4 linked regions of the Oryzias latipes genome follow. The protein of the gene in region 2 interacts with the protein of the main gene of each other region in a pairwise test. Links are inferred from orthologs where the notes say so. Each region holds a gene or a part of one and is shown on either strand. Other genes may lie near its edges. The genes, in order: nif3l1, dmc1, psma3 and BTB/POZ domain-containing protein KCTD5.

Region 1 (5,716 bases), about 5.3 Mb from region 2:
CATGGGGAAAGGTTTTTTGTGTATTTGTGTATTTGGTGCTGTGCAAAAATCTGCGCTAACAGTGTTGGGAGTCCTTAAATCCATGTTTGTTTACCTAACGTTTGCCCCCATCCCAGGGCTAATCGCAGATGACTCAACACCAGGTGGGACTTCATCCTCTGGACGGCTTCAGCCACAGTCACTGGCTGCTCCAAAACGCTGAGTCGGCCTTGGCCGTGGCCCGGCAGAGGCGGCTGCAAGTGTGAAGCAGGTACAGAGCTGCCAGGTTACCGGGGCATCACAAAAGGACACTGTTATTGGAGTCTTAAAAAGTACTGACTTGGTCTTTTTTTGTGTTTCTGCTGTACCTTCTCTAACTTCAGGATGCTGAGGGACTGACTGGAGCAGCTGTGCTGCAGCAGAGTTTGAACGCTGGGAGTCAGTGCTGAGTCGCTGCATAATACGCTGGCGTGGATCCCACTGCTGTCTGCTCTGGTTTGAGAGAAGTAATAACCGAGACAAACAACTTATTAACATCTGATGATGCTAGTATTATTTTCACATTAGTATAAAAACAACCCGGCATAATCAGAGCGAATCCACCATCAAACCAATTTTTTTTTTTTAGTACAGCCATAGCTCATTTCTACGACGGAGTATTAGGGCCACCAAAAAAAAAAAATTAGAGCCACCAAAAAAAAAAAAAAAAGTAAAATTACGAGATTTTATCTCGTAAATTTAGGAGATAAAAACTCGTAAATTTAGGAGATAATAACTCGTAAATTTAGGAGAAAAAAATTCGTAATTTTAGGAGATTACAGTGGAAGTGAACATGCAGAGCAGCAGGTGAACGCCGTGCAGCCGCAGAGAAGACCGACTAAACTTTGTTGAACAGGTGAGCTGTATGTTTATTGATAACGTTCCAAATGTCTGGAAAGTCATTTGTTCGATTAACGATTCATTAAAGTTGTATTTATTGATGGTTGGTTTGCAGGATCTCTGCAGCCCGACGAAGCCGTTGTCGGTGTCCCTGCAGCTGTTCGCTTGAATCCTTTCTTCCTCCACCAAAGACAAGACTCTACGTCTGTGTGACGCTTCCGTCACACAAAAGGAGGAGCACTTTTTTTTTTTGGCATTTTCAACGTTCCAAAGCTAATATAAAACACTATTTTCATTCCTCTTTATTGTTTTATGCTGAAACGGGACATTTCATCTGCAGGAGGGGGCGTTTGTAAGACTGTTTACTTCCGCATTGGTGTTGGGATGACAGGTTCATGACGTAATGAGACAAATGAACTTCAGGATATGTGAATGGAAAGGAAAATAAAGGCTGCAGCGGTCCTCTACACCCAAACGTGTCTCTGAGCTCCTTATTTTACCTATGAAACTCCGCTTTACTGACACTGAACCCCGGAAAGACTACTACACGGAAACTAATCTGATTTTGAGTCGCCAAAAGGTTCAGAATCTCTTTGTTTTAAACCTATAATAATCCGGAAATGAAGCTTCACAAAAGGCTCCACATACTTCATCTTCAAGCTAGGTTCCGATAAACGGACAACTTCGGTGTTTTTTCCTTAATCTACGACTTTTTTCTCGTAAATTTATGAGATTTTAAGTCGTAAATTTATGAGATAAAAAGTCGTAAATTTACGAGTTTTTATCTCCTAAATTTACGAGATAAAATCTCGTAATTTTACTTTTTTTTTTTTTTTGGTGGCTCTAATTTTTTTTTTTTTGTGGCCCTAATACTCCGTCGTACATTTCTGAATATATTCCCCAAAAATCTCAAACAACCTGGTTCCTGTAGAGATTAAGGATGTTCCTCCATCACAGGCCTTAAGCTCCTTCATCACTGTGTTTAGTTCCTCTGTGCTTCTCACTGTGAACTCGAGTTTATGACAGTGGGAGGCGTTACCAAGAGCCTGACTCAGCACAGACACTTGGCCGCTGCCTGAAATTCAAAGAACAACCCAGAAAAAAGCAGATTACAGGTTCACATGCAGCCACAGCAAGCCTAATGCAATTTCCTGCCAGAAGAGCTCCTTACCAAGGCCTGCAACCAGCCAGTCATTTACCCCTCCTTTAACACTGTCCCATGAAGTGTGAGGGGAGAAGACCGCAATCCCAGCCTCTACCGCCCGGATGGCCAATCGCTGCTTCCAATCTTTCTGGTTCAGTCGCTTAACAGGACGGAACAACGGCGGGTGATAGGAAATAATGAGGTCACAGCTCAAAGCCTCTGCTTCCGCCATGACTGCATCTGTGAGGTCGTTGGTCAGCAGGATGGTTTTGACCGGCCGAGGTTTGCTAGGCTCGACCAGCAAGCCGACGTTATCCCATGACTCAGCAAGAGACAGAGGAGCGAGCTGCTCCAGAACCTGCAAAGTTTCCTTTAACTCCATGGGGCCAGTAAAGTGGGAGCAGTGAGGAGGCTGGAAGGCGGAGGAGAAAGGAGGATGCAGAAAGGATGAGCTGTTGATGATTCGCTGTTGAGGAGACGAGGAGACAGAGGGAAGAGAAAATGATGCTGCTGAGGCAGAGAAGTGGAGTTCACTTTTAGGCTTGAACCTTTTACACATCCAAGTTCTTCTATGTACAAGTGATGCAAAGATCAGAAAGAGATTCCTGCATCCAGTCAACATGAGTGGACCATCTGCATAAAACAAAAAAGAACACAAAAGTGGGCACTGGGTGCTATTTTTTCCCTTTCGAAAACATATCATTAAAATTCAAGTTCCCCAATTACAAAAACGAACAATCACTGCTAACTTTAAATACATTTTTCTCAAATATCTTCAGGTTTCATGTATTTAGTTATTATAATATCACCTATAATAGCCCTTAAATGCCTTCAAAGAAGAGGCTGTAATATACTTATTTATTCCTAAAAGCAACAGCTTTTTTTGCTCGGTCGAGCCGAGCAAACTTTCATTCGTTTTTATGCATATATACTTTGCTCCAAAAATTTAAGTCTGCATATAAGACTTTTTTAAAGGCCATATTTACCCTCTGAAGAAAAACTTAATGTGACTTTATTTCCAGTTTTTTTTCCTGACCACAATATTAATTTTTTAAGATATTTCATTGGAGATTTTGGACTACTTCACCACGTAAAGTCGTGGAAGATTATAAAACTAGGTCTGATCCACCAATTTTGCTGAATTTAAGTAAAAGCAAATTTGGATAATTATTCTAATCCATCTAATCCATCAAATAATAATTAATGATTTTGATAGAAACATAATATACACACACGTATGTTTAAATAAAAAGATCTACTACCTGCACACGATTTTTATATGACCAACACAAGCACAACAATGAGTGACACACATGCGGCTAAGCACAACTACCTACCCCTAGCTAAGCTAGCAGATTAGCTGCGCTACTAGTGTCTTGTAAATGTTGATAGAAAATCACCCATTTTATCAAAATTCAGTGTTGCTATGATGAGGTAAAAGCCGTTTCAGAGCATTGGCAAATGTAACGATCTTGTCATACGTTCAGGAAGATATCAGAAACTTTGTGAGCTAGCATGAACCTCTGCGACTGTCAGTCAGAACTTTCTGCACAACCCTATAAATGTCCCTTTCGAGCTTCCGTTGTGTATATCGACAAAAAACGGGACATAAATAAATAGGCGTGGCTTCTGTCACATTATATTACGATACAATGTTTTAAAGATACATTATAATGCCAACATTATGACATTTTATTTTATTTTATTTAACTTTAAATTTTGAGCATTTATTTTGTTTAGGATATTAGTTAAGATTCATTGTCTAATTTTGAAAAAGTTCTCGGAAGGAAAAGTCGCTTTTAAAAGATTTGATTATAAATATGGTGAAATCTTTGGTTAATTTTGTGGCAACTGACTCTTATAAGGTTACCTCAGTTTTAGCATAGTTCCTTTAATGTCATGCAGAAAATCATTTCTGGAATTTTTCCAAACAAGTTGAATTCTTTTAACCACATTTTTAAGCTATGCTCCTTTCACAGGAAAAATAAAGTTCTTTAAGCATTTATTAATTTTCCTGTCCTTATGTTCAAAAAATTTGTTCACAAATACGTTACCAAAAAAAACCTTTTTGACCTGCAAATATTTACAGAGCTGTAAGCACAACGTTGAAACTATTGGTCAGTAGGCTAAAAGTGCAGAAGCTGCCTTACTCTGTCAGTGAGTAGTTCTTTATTAGTGATAAAAACAGTTTAATTCTCTTTAGACTGAAATTCTCTGACTGTGGACATTGCATTCTAAAAATGAAAGCTTATTTGAACAAACAGCTACTGACAATATGTCAGAGACGTTAAATGGAAACCAAGAGGGCATTAGCTTTAAAAGGTGCGTTTAATCAGCCATCCTAATAAATCCTTTTGGTGTTGCATAATAGAGCTCAAATGTAATGTTATGAAACAAAATTACTGATTACTGTCAACAGGAAAAGGCTAGATGACTCTGATAAGCTGTATTAATTCGAGTGGGCAGGTGGTCCAGAAGATACCCAGGGATCCACTTGCCTTTTCTCAGAAAGATTACCGACCACATAGTAACACGCAGATGAAATCTGTCTGCAGCTGGTGGTCGTGAAGGGGTTAAACATGCATTTTTGGCACGACAGCAAGCTTCTGGACAGAATGGCTTCTTTTGGATTAAGTCAGAGAGTGACCAAGAGAGAGATATTGGGGATTAATGCATTAAAGGTCGATGCTAGATGTTAGGAAGGGGGATCAGGGAAGGATCAGCGCAAAGGCCAGCCAGAGTGTATTACATCATCTGAGTCTTCCTTTGGCCTCATCTTTCTGTCCGTGCATGACATCTATCAGAATAACAAGGTCCTGCTCTTCCAGCAATCACACAATTTACATTGTCAGGACAGTAAAAGCATTGAAAAATCTGAGGTGTTGAGTTTTTGGAACAGAAACAAAGACTTAAAAAACACTTGAAACAAAAAAGTATGCTGTTATTTGGAGTTACCGTATACATTGCTTTGTTCTCAGTTGTTTGGTTTAGCATATTGGCTTTTTTTAATTGGCGCTATAAGCCTCTGTTGCCCCATCTGGCTGTCTGAGCCCCTTTTTCCATACAACATCTGTCTGTGCGCTGTGTCCAGAGTGCACAGTGTTCCTGTCCGCACTCCAAAAGTCTAAGTAGGCCTTTCATTTCCGCTGACTTTTAATCCATTTGGCACCATAGAAATAACAACAACAAAAAAAAACTCAGGGTAAAAGAGTTTAACAATTTCTGTGGATGTATTTTACTTATTTTATTGTCTCTAAATCAAAAGCTCTGTAGCTTTTTGTGGATAAATCTGTTATGTAAAATTCTCCTTCTTAGTATTTTGAGTTCTTTGTTCTATTTTCGTTCCTTTCTCCAAATGACCTTCAAAAAACAAGCTTATTCAGTCGACATTTGGCTTACAGAGGAGCATCTCTAATGTCCTTTGGTTTACAAATCCCTTCAGTGGGACATTATCCTTAGTAAAATCTATCAATTTATGGAACAAGCTTTGACTTCTCTTGATTACTTTGGGCTGAATGTGAAGACCTGGTTCACTAAAGGTATACTATTAATACGTAACACAGCAGAAAACTGTATTTATTCTTCTTCTTTTCCTTTCTTCTCTTCCCTGCAGGAGTCGTCACAGCAAATCCGCTTCCTCCATCTAACCCTGTCTTCTGGATCCTCTACTCTCTTCCTGTTGTCATTCACTGTGGCCTTCTCCACACCTCTTGC
Region 2 (4,555 bases):
ATATTTAGCTTTCCTTCATTAGTACCCATATATTTCTTCGTGTATTTACTTACTGTTTTCCATTTTTACAATTTCTTTTTTTTAAACATTTCGCAGGCCTTGTTAATACTGGGAATGACGACCTGTTTCTGGTCTGATTATTATGCTGTCTTCTTGAGATGCACCTTGTGATTCTTTCTGTGAAAAGTGCTCTAGAAATAAATACATTCTACTCTACTTATTACCTGCACCTTCTTTATCCTCTGTTGGCACTATTTATCTCTATTTATTGTTCTGACCATTGTGTTATTTTTTATTTTGCTTAGGGGGTTAAGCATTGGTACCGCAGCAAATTCCTAGTCTGAAACTGTTTTGTTCACTGACAATGGTAATAAAAACCCCTTGAATCCTTATGATAGTTTTGAACATGTTTTTAAGTCATACAAGTTCATATTACATACGTTTCTGTGTGTTTTGCACTCCAACGGGTTCACTTTAAAATAGTAATTTATTAAAAAACGGTTCAATTATGTGCCCCCTTTAAAATATTCATTAATAGTAATAAACGTACCCTGTAAGCTTACAATCTTTCTTTTAATGTAAAGCTTTGAAACAATAAAACTCTGGCTCTGTTTATTTAAACTATGATAAGTTCAGAGGGGAACCACCCTCTTTGCCCCTTTTTGAGTCGCCCTCGCTGGCCGTTAGATGCCCCTTAGCCTCCCCTTCTGCCTCTGCCACCCTGGTAAGAGCTGGACGTGACAAATTCTTTTTTCGAAATGGCAGCCTTTCTGTTGGTTGTATCTCCATAGCAACCATTTTGTCTTTTGGTCGCCTGGGGGCGACGAACAAGCCGGTGTAATTTTTGGAAGAATCGGCAAAAGTAAATTTTTAGGTTTCCTTGGCAACAGAAGTTTTTTGTTAACCACGCCCACATTTTGGATACATTCATATCGTGTGTTATATCGTTTCAAATCGGCTCGACGCAGAGATTCGTGTATTACATTTTCATAACATTCTGATAGAAAATGTGAGAGCAAGAAAGGAACGCCATTCTTGCGAGGTCGCCACGGTAACGTCATTCAAAACCTATAAACCTTTTCTTTCCCCAACATTTATTTTCGCCCCAGCGTCCCAATGATGCTTGGGGAATTAGGAGGTAATAGATTCTAATCCATAGAAGGAGTTTGTAGAAGGTGATTTCTTATGAAAATTCCAGATGGCGGCCTCTTCCTGAGGTCAAAGGTCAACAAATCTACAGCTGTGGTTGTAGACTTAACCTGGTGATGAGTTTGCTTTCTTTTCCTATTCTGTGCTTAGGTCCAAATTAATTTACTAAACTCTATTGGTTCTGAAAAGTATTGCATTTGCACAAGAAGTAGATTTTTGCTGAAATGATTTATTCATATTTCTATCAATAAACAGGGAGAAATGACTATTTCCAGTGTAACATAAGTTAAGGAAAGGAAAACTTCACTTTTCAATCCGATCTTTTGTGACTTATTTTGAAATAAACCAGACATTCTGCCCAATTGAACTTCAATAAATTACTTTTTTTGTTGAATTCAGTGCATCTGGAACACAACAAGCTGTCATATAAATACTAAACAGAAACGATACCGCAGCTGTAAGCCAACAGGCGGCCGTGAACACGTCTGTCCTCCGTTTTTCGTCACTCTTTGGCGTCAGTCACTCCTCCAGCAGAAATGGCAAAGGTCGCCTCGTTTTCAGGCATGACGGGGCTGCAGACAAACGGTCCAGTAAGTCCGGTTCATTTAGGAGCTGTGATGATTATCAATATCAAAGGCTTACAACCTGTCGAATATTTTAGCGATTCTCATCTCTCCTCTTCCTTTCCTCAGGCTGATGCGGGTGGTGGAGGCGTGGGCCAGGATGTGCCCCCCGATGGGCTTCTTGGGATCAGCTTGAAATCTAAAACAGGGGGGGGGATACATAAAAGCACATTTCTGAGTCAGAAATGAAAAAACAAACAAACATCCTTTTCTGATGAATGAGGGTTTTTGTGATCCTTACGTCATCCCTGCTCCAGGATCTGCCGTCATCTGGTTGGTAACAAACACAGCCACGTTGTACTCTAGAAACACAAACAGCTGCTTACTCTGCCTGAACACTTTCTCCTCTTGATCATCTTGCTTTTCTACAGGATTTTAACCCTTGTGCTATCTTAGATGACCCCACCCTTCCATTGATGTGTTCTCCCTACCATGACAAAGGTGGATAAAGGTGGAAAGATTTCATGTAATCCAGTGACACCAGTGAAGATCACAAATCATTGAAGAAAAAAGGTTCAGAGCACTGTCTAGTGGGTCTAGATGACCCAACTCCCAATGTTAAAGTGCCTAGGATAGCACAAGGGTTAAAGGACAGGACTTTAACCCATCTTTGCATTTCTGTGACCCCTATCTCATTAGTACAACAGAGTTTTAGGGCCAGTTTACAATTATTATAATTTTTATTACAAGATTTTAAGTCATAAATTTACAAGAGAAGAAAATCATATAAATTTACAAGAAAAGATCTTGTAAATTTAGTAGAAAAAAACTCATACATTTATGAGTAAAAAATCTAATAGATTTACTAGAAAAAACTAGCAAATTTACGCGAAAAACATTCTTATAAATTTACAAGAATAAATCTCATACCTTTACTAGAAAAAACCTTGTGAATTTAAGAAACAAAAAAGTCATAAATTAATACGAAAAACCACCAAAGTTGTCTGTTTATTGGCCCTTTGTTTGAAGATAAAAGATGTGGAGCATTTTGTGAAGCCTTATTTCCGGATAGGTTTCAAAAACCAGGAAGTTCTGAACCTTTTGGTGACTTAATATCAAATTCTTGTCAGTGTAGTCGGCTTTGCGTGCGCACGCTTATCCGAATTTCTTTTCTTTTTAACCACGGTCACCTGGAGGGCTCCGTATTTCTGTTCATTCTTCGCGTGCCTTTACGGTTTGAGGTTTGGCTCCTCCCCGTGTCGTTTCTTCACCATAAGGAGCTTCATGAACAACTGAAAACGTTTCTGTGCTCTTAACCCCTGAGACACTTCAGCAAACGCAGATCTGCTTCTCACCCTCAGAGATTTTCTGCAGCCGGGACAGCATCTGGGCCAGTTTCTGCTGCCGCTCGGCCAGCTCCCCCCGGCCAGAGAAGTCCACTCTGAACAGCGCCATGATGGAGTCAATAATCTGAAGGAGAGCAGAGTCAGCCTCTGCCCCGATCGCAGGGGTCACGGCGGAGGTCCAGGAGTGAAGGTCTCCTCACCAGCAGCTTGAACACGCCTCCCTCTTCATGAAACTTGGCGGCTACAAAGTCCAGCAGCTCCATCTGGTGTTCGCCTGCGGAGAAACAGCGTCACGGGGACCAGCGTTCATTTGCATCATAAGAACGTGCGTTGATTCCATGGTGTGGCTGGCGCACTGGTATAAGCTCGAGCATAAAGCACGTTGTCCAGAACCGCACCGTGGTCCACGTTGAACCTGTCGGCGATGTCTCTCAGCCTGTCTGGGCGACTGAAACACGGCAGGTCAAGAACATCACCAAAACACAGATAGGAGTTCAGGACCAGCGTCACTTCATGCATAAAGTTGCTTTAGCCGTAAGGATACAACGTGTTCTCTGTGTCGATGAAGATGACTTTTCCTCCGGAGTAGCCGTTCTCCCCTGGCAGCTGTGCAGTGACTTCACGCAGAAACAGAAATGTTCATGTCATGTGCAAAAAAAGATGCTTGAAACTGTTTTACTCACCACAAAGCGTGTGAGACAGCTGGGTTTTTCCTGTGCGGAACTCTGACAAACAAAGACAATATTCATTTTTTATAGATTAAACATGTAATAATCTGTTGGGAAACTTTTGGATTAATAAACAGAAAGGCGGGGGTCTCCTCACCTCCGAAAGCTTCTGTAATAGCCATGCTCTCAACGCCTCCACCCAAAAGTTTACTGCAGAGGGAACATAACACATCATGGGAATCAGAATCAGCTTTATGGGACTTTGGCATTATTTTATTGCTTTTTGCAATTTTACATTGTTGTTTTTTTTTTCATTTTCCATAGAACACTTTGGCTATAAAAAGTTACACCAGCCCTTTTTTGCCGGGTCATTTTTACCCGATATAATGAACCCAACAAAAAGCACTTGTGCTAAAAAATAGATCAAAACACGACAACACATGATCACTCAGAGTGGTTTTCTTTTCTTTTCAACTGTGGCAAAATAAAAAATAAAAACATAGGAGGTTCCTGAAAACGGGAAATTTTGAAATTTGAGAACAAAAAAATCCTAAAAAATATCAAACTTATACTAGAAACCTGGGGCCTCATTTATAAACGTTGCGTACGCACAAAAGAAGGCGTACGCCACTCTCTACGCAATAGTTGAGATTTATAAAAAGCAAACTTGACGGGAAAATGTGCGGTCCTCCACGCAAGCTCTGACCCAGGCGTACGCACAAAAACGGGTGAAATGAGAAATGGCGACACCGTCGGCAGATGGAAGAAATACGTGAAAGTGACAGTGTGTGCCAAATCGTGCTGGCATGTGCTGTGCTACACAATGTGG
Region 3 (5,639 bases), on a different chromosome or scaffold from region 2:
AACCGGAGAGCGAGAACAGGAAGTCCGTTTCCGTCATCAGCTCCACTTGGTCCTCCTCTCCTTCTCTGGTTCCACATCAGAAAGTGGCACCTGTTCTGAACCCGGTCCAGCAGAACCACTTGTTACATTCATGGCCTTCCTCTTCTCGTTTTTGATTTGTCTTTACTCAGAAAAAAAAGTTTGGGGTCTTTCAGCTGCAGTGTGGATCCGTCCAGTAGACGTGTTCCAGCCTCTGCAGCTCAGAGGTTCTGGAGCTCGGCGTGTTCCCGACTGTGCAGACGAGGTTGTCCTTCCTACAGAGTCTGAGCACACCGAGGGGTTCCGTCTCGCTCCGAGTCCAGGTGGAAAGCATCAAACTGGAAGCTTCTGGGCGGGTTCTGAGGGTTCAACTGGACAGGAAGCTGTCCTGAGGAGAACGTCCGGACTCTGAGGAGGCCGAACATCTTGATGTGTTGGAAATGGCGGCTCGTTCTGTTTCTGCTGCTCCTCCTGGAGTCCGGCCCCCCTCCTCTACCCCCATTATCAAAGTGTAATAATAAAGTCCTTGTATATGTTTTTATGAACTAACAGACGCTCATCATCCGTGTGGCTCGGTTCTTCTGGTCTGACAAGCTTCTTCTTTATCTTCTCGGCGGTGGAGCTTCAGTCTTGTTGCCTTAACGTCAGTCACACTTTGATTTCCTGTAAGAACAGAAAAAAAAATGAATCACATGTTCAGTTCCTGTTTTTTAACAGCACTGTAAATGAATGTTCTTCACTCTGATGTGACCAAAGCTTTCGGATCCAGATGGAGATGTGAGGAATAAACTCACTGGTTGTTTGGTTGAACTTCAGCAGGTCTGTAATCCACACGGCTCTCTCTCTCACGCTCAATAAAGTCTTTATGGACACTTTTCTTACAAGTTCTGTGTGTGAACCTCTTACTGTCTTCTGCCTGATGGGGAGGGGGGTACAGGTACACCTGAAGGTCCTGCGAGGTCTCTGTAGCATAGAAAAATATTCACTGGTGCTTCAGTGTTCACAGGAGCATCTGGTCAAGTTTTATTTTGAAAGGGACCTGCAGAAAACCATGTTCTGTTCAGGGTTTTTTATAACAAAGAGCTGCATGACCTCCAACATACCTGTTGCAGTGACACCCGGACTCTCCTCAGAAGACTGGAATTAGGTTTTAGGTGAATACATTAATGCAGTGCAGTCAAAAATGGTTCAAGTATTGTTTCAGTAAAATATAAGTACATTAAAGGAGTTAAACTGAATAAAGTAAGTATTTTATTGTAAGTATTATAAACAAGTGCAGACGTTTATTTGCATATTTTTCAATCTGAATGTTTTTCAGGGATTTCACTGTCATTTTTAAGGTGTAATTTATTATGAGAAGAAAACAGAATAGAATTTTTAAAGTTAGTTCAAAAACTTGAAAGCTATAAAATGGAAACTACGACAAAAATAAAGTAAACATTATTATTTTAGTTATTTTCACATGTTCTATTTCAAGCAAATAAATAAAAAATATGATGAAGTCAAGAACCCAGAACTTGACAAAAATAACTGGGAGGTACAATACTTTTTACAGCTAAAAGATATTATTTTTCTAATCAGAATTTAATTGTGCTTATTAAAAAAATACAAGTAAAAAAAAAAACAAATTGGGGACTTTACTGTGTTTTTTAAAGGCAAGTTGTGATTAAAAAGCTCTTCGTGGGTAATGTGCTGAAGGAAAGCGTTTTATTGTGAAGGCGACCGGCGGAAGTGATCGAGCGTCACCGGAAACACGGGCTGAAGCTTCTTTAAGTTTGTGTGAAAATGAGTTCCATCGGAACCGGGGTGAGTCTTTTATTGCCTCTTTTAATCCAGTACGTTTGTGATAAAAGTGCTAAATGTTGTGAGTTTGAGTCCATATCGGTTTGAGGGGGGAATAGGCCGGTCACATTACCAGGAGCGTGGGAACACAGCAGCATGAAGCTAGCCTGTTAGCCTGCTGCTGAGTCACAGAGCGGCTGCTAACAGACGAAGTGAAAGTAAAACCTGTGTTTAAAAAAATTTATTGTTTGTTTTAGATACTTGAAATCAGTAAGATTTGAAGACTGTTCGAGAGAATTCTCCGGGATTGTTTGGCCTCTTTATCTTTGCTTGTTTGTTTTTTTCTTCTACGTGGAGTGATGCTAGCAGCTGAGCTAGCTAACAGAACTGGTGAAAATGTGGAAATCAAAATCGCGTTGTTTGGTAGATCTGTCAGTTTGAAGCGATTTGTTTCTGGTCTAATGTTAGGTCAAATTGACTTTTTTTTTTGCTTAGACGAGTCTCTATAATAAAACTACATTTTTTTTAAGCTCCTGTTAGTGTTAAAACATAAAAAAAATCTATCAATCAAGGTTGTCTAAAAGCGCTACACTGGAAGCCTAAAATCAATTATATTGAATTACTTTTGTTATATTTCCATTCTTTTCATATATTATCCTGACTTTTTTTTTAATGGTTCAGTTCAGTCCTGATCATTAAAACAATCCTAAATATATTATAAAATTGCATGTAAAGAGGAACGGATGAATTTTCTGTGTGATTTATGTTTTGAGCTCAAAACTGTGGAGAGGAAAACACCTGAAATAAAAACGATAAGCTGTGGATGTGATGGATGAGAATGGATCCAGTGACCTTGTTTGACCTGCTGAAACCAGGTTCAGTCGCTCGGTCCAACCCAGCACTGATCCCCTCCACCGTGAATGCAGAAAAACTGATGCGGAGTCACTTCTATCACCGGATGAGACCCTAAACTGAATCTAAAAAAGTTGTTGTGGTCAAGATTTTTTTTTTACTCTAGATGTGTAGAAACATGCAGCATATTTACAGAACTAAAAATGTTTTTTTATTTTTAAATTATATATTATATTATTTAAATTAATAATAAATTGATTACTGATGGTCTATAATTGTTTTTAATCGGTACGTCACAACACCTGGTTGGTCAATAATGAAGGCTTTACACTCATTTTTGTAGAATTTCTTTAAAATCAGACATAAAAAAAGTGAATATATATTTTTGTTCTGGTTATATTTGATTTATGGTTTGGTTGATTACAGCAAATCAAGGCTACACGTCCCCCCCTCGAGGTCTGGGTGTTGTCCTGGATTAGTGGACTTCTGTTTGTTCTCCTATTTTGCGTATAATGCTGATGTTGTGTGTTTGTGTGTCTTGCAGTATGACCTGTCTGCCTCCACTTTCTCCCCTGATGGTCGGGTCTTCCAGGTGGAGTACGCCATTAAGGCGGTGGAGAACAGCAGGTCAGTTCCGTCCTCCTTCTCCTTCCACGCCTCTCATCTCAGTTTGTGTGTCTGTGTGTAACCTGTGTGTGTGTTTGTGTAACTTCCAGCACAGCTATCGGGATCCGCTGCAAAGATGGAGTCGTGTTTGGGGTGGAGAAGCTCATTTTGTCCAAACTTTACGAGGAGGGGTCCAACAAACGCATCTTCAACATTGACAGACACGTTGGCATGGTAACAGCTGATTTTTTTTTTTTTTTGTCCCCGGTTTCTCTCAGCTGCGATGGTTTAAAGCGTCACGCCGAATCTGTGGTGTTTTTTTTTCTTCTGCTGCTCCTGTTTTCTCACAACCTCCTTGCAGGCAGAGACCGTTTATTAAACTGTTTTTAAAGTGATGCATTAAAAAATGAATGAAAGATCTTCTGTGAGTGACAGTTTCTGGTGTGCTTGATGGATGTCTGTCTCTCTCTCTCCAGGCGGTAGCAGGCCTGTTAGCTGATGCTCGCTCACTCGCTGAAGTAGCCAGAGAGGAAGCCTCCAACTTCAGGTCGAATTACGGACACGACATTCCTCTGAAGGTTGGTTTTCCTACCGTCAGGTTGTCACGCCTGTTTCCATGGTGATGCTAAGGGTGTGTATGTTTTGTTGCAGCACCTATCTGACAGAGTGGCCATGTATGTGCATGCGTACACGCTGTACAGCGCAGTGAGGCCGTTCGGCTGCAGGTGGGTGTTCTTCAGCACGTTTAAAAAGACCCGTGGTGCGTTCAGGGACAGTGCAGAAGTGTTTGTAGTCTATGATCTCTAACCCCCCCACGTGTTTGCTCCTCTCAGCTTCATCTTGGGTTCGTATGACAAAGACGACGGTCCTCAGCTCTACATGGTCGACCCGTCTGGTATCTCTTACGTGAGTCGGGTGTGTTCGTGTGCGTTCAGGTGACTCCAGGTGAGACCGACTAACCAGCCTCTGTGTCTTCAGGGTTACTGGGGGTGTGCGATCGGGAAAGCAAAGCAAGCTGCCAAGACGGAGATTGAAAAGCTGCAGGTGAGTCTGCAGGAACACCAGCGAGCGTTTTACTGTGAAAGGTTGGTAAAAGCGGGCGACTGCTGAGACCACCAGCAGCTCAGGCCTTCACGAAGGGTTTCTGCTGAGCTCAGACACGATTCATGAATCTGGTTTAGTTCTGACGTTCTGGAGCTGCTGTTTTGTGACTAATATTTCACACGTTGAACTCTGCGAGCAGAGACGTTCTCACATATCCGACCGTTTCCTCCGACAGATGAAGGACATGACGTGTCGAGAGCTGGTCAAAGAAGTCGCTAAAATGTGAGTTTCACTCTGTTCATGAAGAAGCTCTGAACCAAAGAAGGCTGAAAAACTAAAATTTCCCTTTTTTTTTTTTTATAAAGAATCTACATCGTTCACGACGAAGTGAAAGACAAGGCCTTTGAGTTGGAGCTCAGCTGGGTTGGAGAAGGTGAGAAAGAACCTGTGCCGTTTTAGCTGGCCTGACCCAGAGCATGATGGGAAGGGAGCTGTGGGACTAAGCCCGTGGTCGGCACGGCGACGGCTGATTCTCCGCTTCTTGTCCTCCGCAGTCACAAACGGACGACACGAGTTCGTTCCTAAAGACGTCAAGGAGGAAGCAGAGAAATACGCCAAGGTGAGTGTAGAACGCCGTAGCTCCTGTTGGCGCCTGCAGAGGGCGGTGTTGTCAGCTGACTATCTTTCTGCTGCAGGATTCGTTGGAAGAAGAGGACGACTCTGATGAAGACAACATGTGAGCCCAGAGCTGCTGCTGCTGCCTCCGGTCTCCTCTTCGTCTTTTATTGTTCGTCGCTTCCTTTGTTTTCACATTTGGAAATAAAATTCTGGAAATGTTCAGCGGCTGCTTTACTTCTTCTGCCTGGAAAAAAGTTTGAGGTTCTAGAATGAGGCTCCAACAGTCTGTGGTTACAAAGTTTATTAGAAACTGAGAGCTGCTCATTGTGCACACACACACTTCTGTGCGTTTCTCTATTTACAAGTTTTGCTCTCGAATCGCTTCCGGAAAAACACCACAAGGAAAAAAAAAACAACCGAGGAGTTTATAGGACTACAGTACAAACAGTCTTCTCTTAGAAAATATTAGAAATCATTCTGTGCCGGTGTGAAAAATGTAGACGTGTGGTCTCTTCTCAGAGCTTTATTTACAGAACAAACGGCTTGAGGAGCTGAACGTCTGGGAGGCAGAGCAGAAACCAGGGAGGAGGCGGCTTCAGAAGCGGCTGTGGGAGGAGCTTAAGTGCATGAAGATCCAGGTGGATCTTCTCAGACCACCGAGCTGCTGTTCAAATGAAAGGAAAACTGGAGCTGAAACGCCAATCTGACCAATTCAAAGA
Region 4 (5,566 bases), about 120 kb from region 2:
TTAAGTCATTCAAGTTATACAATGACCAATTGACCAAAGTAGGCGGAGCCCCACGTCCTACCTTCAAGACTCCGAACTGACTGGTGAGAGTGGTTGCCATAGAAACGTCGACTCAGACCGACTCGGGCCAATCACTGCTTACGCTGCTGAAGCAGGCCTCTTTCCTTACATAAGGTCAGTAAATCTGCCGATGGCGTAAGAAAAGTCGGATTAGAAACGCTTATAAGAAACAAAATTCTAGTCACTAAGACGAGTTTCCTCAAAGTTTTCTTTTTTGATAAAGAAAATTCTCGAGATTATTTTTCTTGCAAGACAGAAAATAAGTCATTTTATCTCGACGTGAGGGTCTTTTTTTTTTAAAAACGTTCTTTGGTTCCCTTTTTGCAGTGTACTGACGCCGCCTGGCTCCAACATGGCGGCGTCCGTGTCGCGCCTAAATGGCGACTGAATTGATTTCCCTTTGATTGGAGCAGGACGTAAATGGGTGCCATCACCCCCCCTTGATCAGGTTCTCAGAGACAGTCGATGGTTTAGTCCGGTCAGAGGACTTTGTGAGTTTAGTAGTAGATTTGTAGCTTTTAGCAGAACTTCAGCGAATTGCTCTTTTCTTTAAGTCATGGAAATCCCAGCAGCCTCTCTGTTTTTAGAGGAGAAATGTTGCTCATCAGCTGATGGTGCAATATGACCCATTTAGCTAGAAGCAAGAACAGACAGCATGTTCCCTCTAGTTTCCCACTTTCACTGGCAGGCAGTGAAGCCGTGCTTTTGTTTGACCATGTTCTTTACTTCAACGGGTCATCAGGAACGTGGAACCGAGCTGGACGATCCGAACGGAAAGACTGGGAGGAATGTTTGGGAACCGGCGCTGAAGCTCTCATGCTAACGTGAAACGGCTCTTTTTCTGGTGCCTCTATATTTAGTCCACTTTGTCTTTCTGCGCAAACACTAAACACTGACTCAGGCTGCTACGCAACCGCCTCAGTCACTGGAGGGTTCAGAGCCTCTTCCAGAACACGCCAGCAGAAATAAACCAGGGAGAGGAGAGCACGGCTGGAGGTTTGGGCTCCAACGGGTCGTACGGCTGACCGCACAGCAGAGGAGAACCGGCCTGCCGTGGTGCTCTAGTTCAGCAGGAAAATGAAATTCTGCTGCGACTGATCTGACGTCCCTGAAAGAAGACCGACCGCATCCTGACCGTGACGTCCGTCGTGGACGACACAAGTTAGATATTTCTGTCCCACGGAGAGGAAGCAGCTTCAGTGACTCGGTTAAAGGCCAAATCCCTGTCATCGGGCCGCGGCGCCGTAACTGTGGTCACAGGAAATGACTTAAAACCAGCCGTTTTAACGCCAACATCAGCTAATTTAACTTTAAATACCGGGAGGGAGATAAGCAGAAGCATCCAGCTGGATTTGTGCTTTTGACAACGGAGTCATAGGAATAAAGCTGTCATTTTAAGAGACTAAACGTGCAAAATTACACAAATAAAGATGTAAAATTATGAGAAAAAGTCATAATTTTACGAAAATAATATTGAAAAATTATTAGAAGAAAGTCGTAATTTTACAAGAATAATCTTGTTGAATTGTTGAATTATCATTAAAAAAAAAATTATGAGTAAAAGAGTCAATATTTCACAATAATAAAGTTATAATCACATAAGTCATAAGTTGAGAATCTAAGAGACTAAAGTAACAACTTTCAGAGGCAAACGTCTGTGTACTTAGAAAAATCTAAGCAACAGGAAAAGGTCGTTGAACCCATTGTAAGTGATTACTTCAGAGCTGGTTTCACAAAAAAGGAGATTCTAGCTCTTTCTTGTAAAATTATGACTTTATTGCCATAACTTTACGACTTTTTTTGACGGCCTGAATGCATCGCAGCTGAAAATGTCACAAAAATTGGCTTTAAAGGATTATAAAACTTCCTGACTGGATCAAGCAAATGATCCGTTTGGCGATAATTACAACAACGAGGCGCCATATTGGACGTGTCTGTGAGCGAGCTTTGTCGGGTTAGTCTCCTCCTACTGAGCACGCTCAGTGGAGTCAACTGCTTGCTGCTCTTTCTCTCCCCAGCAGGAACTACAGATGATTTACATCAGACGGCCTACAAACTCCGGGAAATGTTCCACATGGAACCTGAACGCGTCCTGGTGCAGCGTGATGCATTCACTGACTGAGAAGGCAAAACAGATCAAATCTAATTCTACACCTAATCTTGTAGTCGCTCTGATGCAGTCAAGCTGAAAATCTAATTATTCAGCCGCTCAGCAGCAGCTTTACACCCATGAGAACCTCCAGAGTGTCCTGTTGCTGCCGGTTTGGGATCTTCATTGATTTACTGAAGGTCAAATGACTTCATTTGATCACTAGTTTCTCATGTCACCGGACGAATAAAAGCATTTTTGCGTCTAAAATATTTAAAAAAAAAGAACACCAAAGAAAATAAGATTTGTACACTTTAAATGAAAGACCAACTCGTTTGTTTGTTTTGAATAACCTTCCCCTCTGTTACCCACATGACTTTAAAAAAAACACACATTTGCATCATTTATAAGTGTTTTCAGGCCCCGCGGTGCGTTCGCTTGCAGGCAGACACTTTAGTCTTCCCCTCTGCTCCATCCCAAAGCCTGGCAGCTTTGCAGCTTCCCACTGAGCAGCACTGCTGCAGAGGCAGCACGTGCTCACGCATCTGATGGCAGCCGCTCCACCACCACCACCACCACCAAGTGATGCTCCGCGGGAGGCTCAAAACACCGGACGGTCTTTGAAGGCAACAGTTCAATACATCACAATTGATCAGATATCATCAATAAAAGCAAATATTTTTGTGACTTTAAGGACTATTATTAAATTTTTAGAGGAAAAAGCACAAATGACGGATAATTCAATGGATTTAAAGGGGATTTTGGTCACGTGATTGACTAATTAGGCTTCAGAAATCAGTGGAGGCGTGGCCTTCAGGACAAGCAGAAGGTCACCCAGGTGTTTCTAACGGAAGTAGGGTTTTTGTTTGTTTGTTTGTTTTCCCGCTGGCTCACCGTGTCCGAGTGCAGGTCCTGCTGCTGGCACAGCCGGTACAGGAAGGAGGTCTGCTCCTTCAGGAGCGTCTGCCGCGTCGTGAGGAACACGGTTCCGCCGACGTTCAGCCGGACCCACTTCCCGTTGCTCCCCGCCGAGGAGCCGTTGTTGTGCGGCGCCGTCCCGGCCCCGCCGGACTCGGCCGTGGCGCTGGCGCCGGCGGAGCTCGTGCTCTCTCCTCCCGCCTCGCTGTCTTTGTTGTTGTTGTTATTGTTGTTGTTGCTGTTGAGCCGCGGGCAGCCGCGCTGCGGTTCCGCCACGTCCGCCGCTTCCCGCTGCTCGTTCGCGGTCGTTGCCATCAATACCGAACCGCCGAACCTACGGGGAGGAGGGACGAGCGCGTGCGTTCCGCCGCTGATGAGGAGCGTGTTTTCCCTCCTTCAACCCACCAGCAGGCTCCGCCTTCAACCCCAACAGGTTTTCAAAGTAAGAGTTTGCGCCTTTCAAAATAAGAGGCAAAACTCATTCATTGTCAAATCCATTTCTGATTTCATGAATGAATTCAGGCGGGGAAAAAAGTTTGACATCAGATTTTGTTCTGTTGATTCTTTTTTTTCTTCTTCAGACAAAGTCCCAATTTGACACTGAACAGATTTTTACTAGTCTAAACATTTTAAAATACAGAAGAAAAAAAAATACTTGAATGTCTCAACATCACCCTTTAAAAAATAACCTCCAAAAAATATTAATTTTCTAGTTTGTTTAAAGACAGACTAGGAGTATACATCAAATATGTTTTAAATAAATGTGAAATTGTTTGTAACGCCACATCTGCAATCCTGAGTAAATGTTGCATAGAGGAAACAAATGATCAGCGTTTCCCTGAAATCATCAGTCAAAACTGGAAAGTTTTGGATAATTTGTCCAATTCAGGAAGTAGAGTTTCAAACAGAGGAGTAGCCTAAAATAGCCAAGTCATAACAAAACTAAAGATAAAACAACTTTCTGCCTTACATCAGGAGTAATTACATTTTCTCTTTTACAAATGCAGTGAAACTGCTTTGAATCCTTTTCTTAGAATACCCTCCGCCTTCATGTATGCCGTGTTTACGTTCTCAGGGTTGGATCAGTGTGGGCCTCATGGCGACAAAGGAAAAATTGTACGTGTGCGGGAGACCCTGGTGAGCGGTGAGGTTGAAGGACCGCCATGCGAACGGACGCAGCCCGCCCTGCGTGGTGGGGCCGTTTATAGCCTCAGCAGCCAGTTGGAGAGCCATCTGGTAGTCCGTCACCTTAAACGTGGGGCAGAAATAAAGAACCATTCAGATCCATCTGTGTATAATATGCTGATATGAGCATGAAGCTTCACAGATTTGGGTTGCTGGTAGAAGTGTGTTTATTGCTGTAACAAATTAATATTGTTAATTTTGACAAATGTTGTGATTAAAATAAATCTTAATTATGGAGACTTTAGTAGTACAGCTTCACCATTGGCCATTCATCCATTCATCCATCTTCCAAACCTGCTGAATCCCTGTTGGGGTTACAGGGTTGCTGGAGCCTATCCCAGCTACTGCTGGGCAAAGGCAGGGTACACCTTGGATGGGTTGCCAGTCTGTTGCAGGGCCACACAATCTCATTCACACCCAGGGACAATTTTAGAATCACCAATTAACCTATGAAGCATGCTTTTGGACTGTGGGAGGAAATCCCACAGTAAGCCGACAGTGCCGACTGTGATATTTCTGCCTGTTTTAATTCTTCTTCTGCTACCTAGATGAGTTTCAAAGTTTCATTGGTCTTTGCTATTGTCTGATCTTATTGTTTCCCTACATCATCCGCTGCTGTCAACAGGAAGGTCCTTGGTGACCGTTGCTATGGTAGTTTGGACCTGTAGTTTTTTAAAGTCGTCAGGAAAGCCCTTGGTAACCGTTGCTATGGTCATTTGGTCCTGTCATTGTCTAAAGTTGTCAGGAAAGCCCTTGGTAACCGTTGCTATGGTCATTTGGTCCTGTCATTGTCTAAAGTTGTCAGAAAATCCCTTGGTAACCGTTGCTATGGTCATTTGGTCCTGTCATTGTCTAAAGTTGTCAGAAAATCCCTTGGTAACTGTTGCTATGGTCATTTGGTCCTGTCATTCTCTAAAGTTGTCAGGAAAGCCCTTGGTAACCGTTGCTATGGTCATTTGGTCCTGTCATTGTCTAAAGTTGTCAGAAAATCCCTTGGTAACCGTTGCTATGGTAATTTGGTCCTGTCATTCTCTAAAGTTGTCAGGAAAGCCCTTGGTAACCGTTGCTATGGTCATTTGGTCCTGTCATTGTCTAAAGTTGTCAGAAAATCCCTTGGTAACCGTTGCTATGGTAATTTGGTCCTGTCATTCTCTAAAGTTGTCAGGAAAGCCCTTGGTAACTGTGTCTATGGTCATTTGGTCCTGTCATTGTCTAAAGTTGTCAGAAAATCCCTTGGTAACTGTGTCTATGGTCATTTGGTCCTGTCATTGTCTAAAGTTGTCAAGAAAGCCCTTGGTAACCGTTGCTATGGTC

The links.
Region 1: the proteins of dmc1 (region 2) and nif3l1 interact in binary tests that used the Homo sapiens proteins (3 or more experiments, as listed by UniProt). The two-hybrid records come from large-scale screens. The link is inferred for Oryzias latipes from reciprocal best matches to the Homo sapiens genes DMC1 and NIF3L1.
Region 3: the proteins of dmc1 (region 2) and psma3 interact in binary tests that used the Homo sapiens proteins (3 or more experiments, as listed by UniProt). The two-hybrid records come from large-scale screens. The link is inferred for Oryzias latipes from reciprocal best matches to the Homo sapiens genes DMC1 and PSMA3.
Region 4: the proteins of dmc1 (region 2) and BTB/POZ domain-containing protein KCTD5 interact in binary tests that used the Homo sapiens proteins (3 or more experiments, as listed by UniProt). The two-hybrid records come from large-scale screens. The link is inferred for Oryzias latipes from reciprocal best matches to the Homo sapiens genes DMC1 and KCTD17.

What each region holds. Positions count from the first base shown.
Region 1 is NC_019877.2:7,709,022-7,714,737, reverse strand, and holds the start of nif3l1 (NIF3-like protein 1), read right to left. Parts: upstream 3,591-5,716; 5' UTR 3,520-3,590; coding exon of another isoform or gene 3,484-3,519; intron 2,636-3,483; 5' UTR 2,625-2,635; coding exon 2,030-2,624; intron 1,934-2,029; coding exon 1,777-1,933; intron 472-1,776; coding exon 348-471; intron 259-347; exon of another isoform or gene 234-258; coding exon 95-233; intron 1-94. UniProt on the Homo sapiens protein: May function as a transcriptional corepressor through its interaction with COPS2, negatively regulating the expression of genes involved in neuronal differentiation.
Region 2 is NC_019877.2:2,423,276-2,427,830, reverse strand, and holds the end of dmc1 (meiotic recombination protein DMC1/LIM15 homolog), read right to left. Parts: intron 3,937-4,555; coding exon 3,884-3,936; intron 3,784-3,883; coding exon 3,742-3,783; intron 3,676-3,741; coding exon 3,603-3,675; intron 3,507-3,602; coding exon 3,415-3,506; intron 3,333-3,414; coding exon 3,259-3,332; intron 3,183-3,258; coding exon 3,068-3,182; intron 2,075-3,067; coding exon 2,014-2,074; intron 1,912-2,013; coding exon 1,795-1,911; intron 1,722-1,794; coding exon 1,652-1,721; 3' UTR 1,360-1,651; downstream 1-1,359. UniProt on the Homo sapiens protein: Participates in meiotic recombination, specifically in homologous strand assimilation, which is required for the resolution of meiotic double-strand breaks.
Region 3 is NC_019880.2:2,485,835-2,491,473, reverse strand, and holds psma3 (proteasome subunit alpha type-3), read left to right. Parts: upstream 1-1,719; 5' UTR 1,720-1,803; coding exon 1,804-1,824; intron 1,825-3,196; coding exon 3,197-3,279; intron 3,280-3,368; coding exon 3,369-3,492; intron 3,493-3,734; coding exon 3,735-3,836; intron 3,837-3,909; coding exon 3,910-3,983; intron 3,984-4,091; coding exon 4,092-4,164; intron 4,165-4,236; coding exon 4,237-4,302; intron 4,303-4,537; coding exon 4,538-4,584; intron 4,585-4,667; coding exon 4,668-4,735; intron 4,736-4,856; coding exon 4,857-4,921; intron 4,922-4,997; coding exon 4,998-5,042; 3' UTR 5,043-5,140; downstream 5,141-5,639. UniProt on the Homo sapiens protein: Component of the 20S core proteasome complex involved in the proteolytic degradation of most intracellular proteins. This complex plays numerous essential roles within the cell by associating with different regulatory particles.
Region 4 is NC_019877.2:2,301,869-2,307,434, forward strand, and holds the start of BTB/POZ domain-containing protein KCTD5, read right to left. Parts: upstream 3,663-5,566; 5' UTR 3,383-3,662; coding exon 3,044-3,382; intron 1-3,043. Other genes in the region: phospholipase B-like 1, read right to left, coding at 4,139-4,315. UniProt on the Homo sapiens protein: Substrate-adapter for CUL3-RING ubiquitin ligase complexes which mediates the ubiquitination and subsequent proteasomal degradation of TCHP, a protein involved in ciliogenesis down-regulation.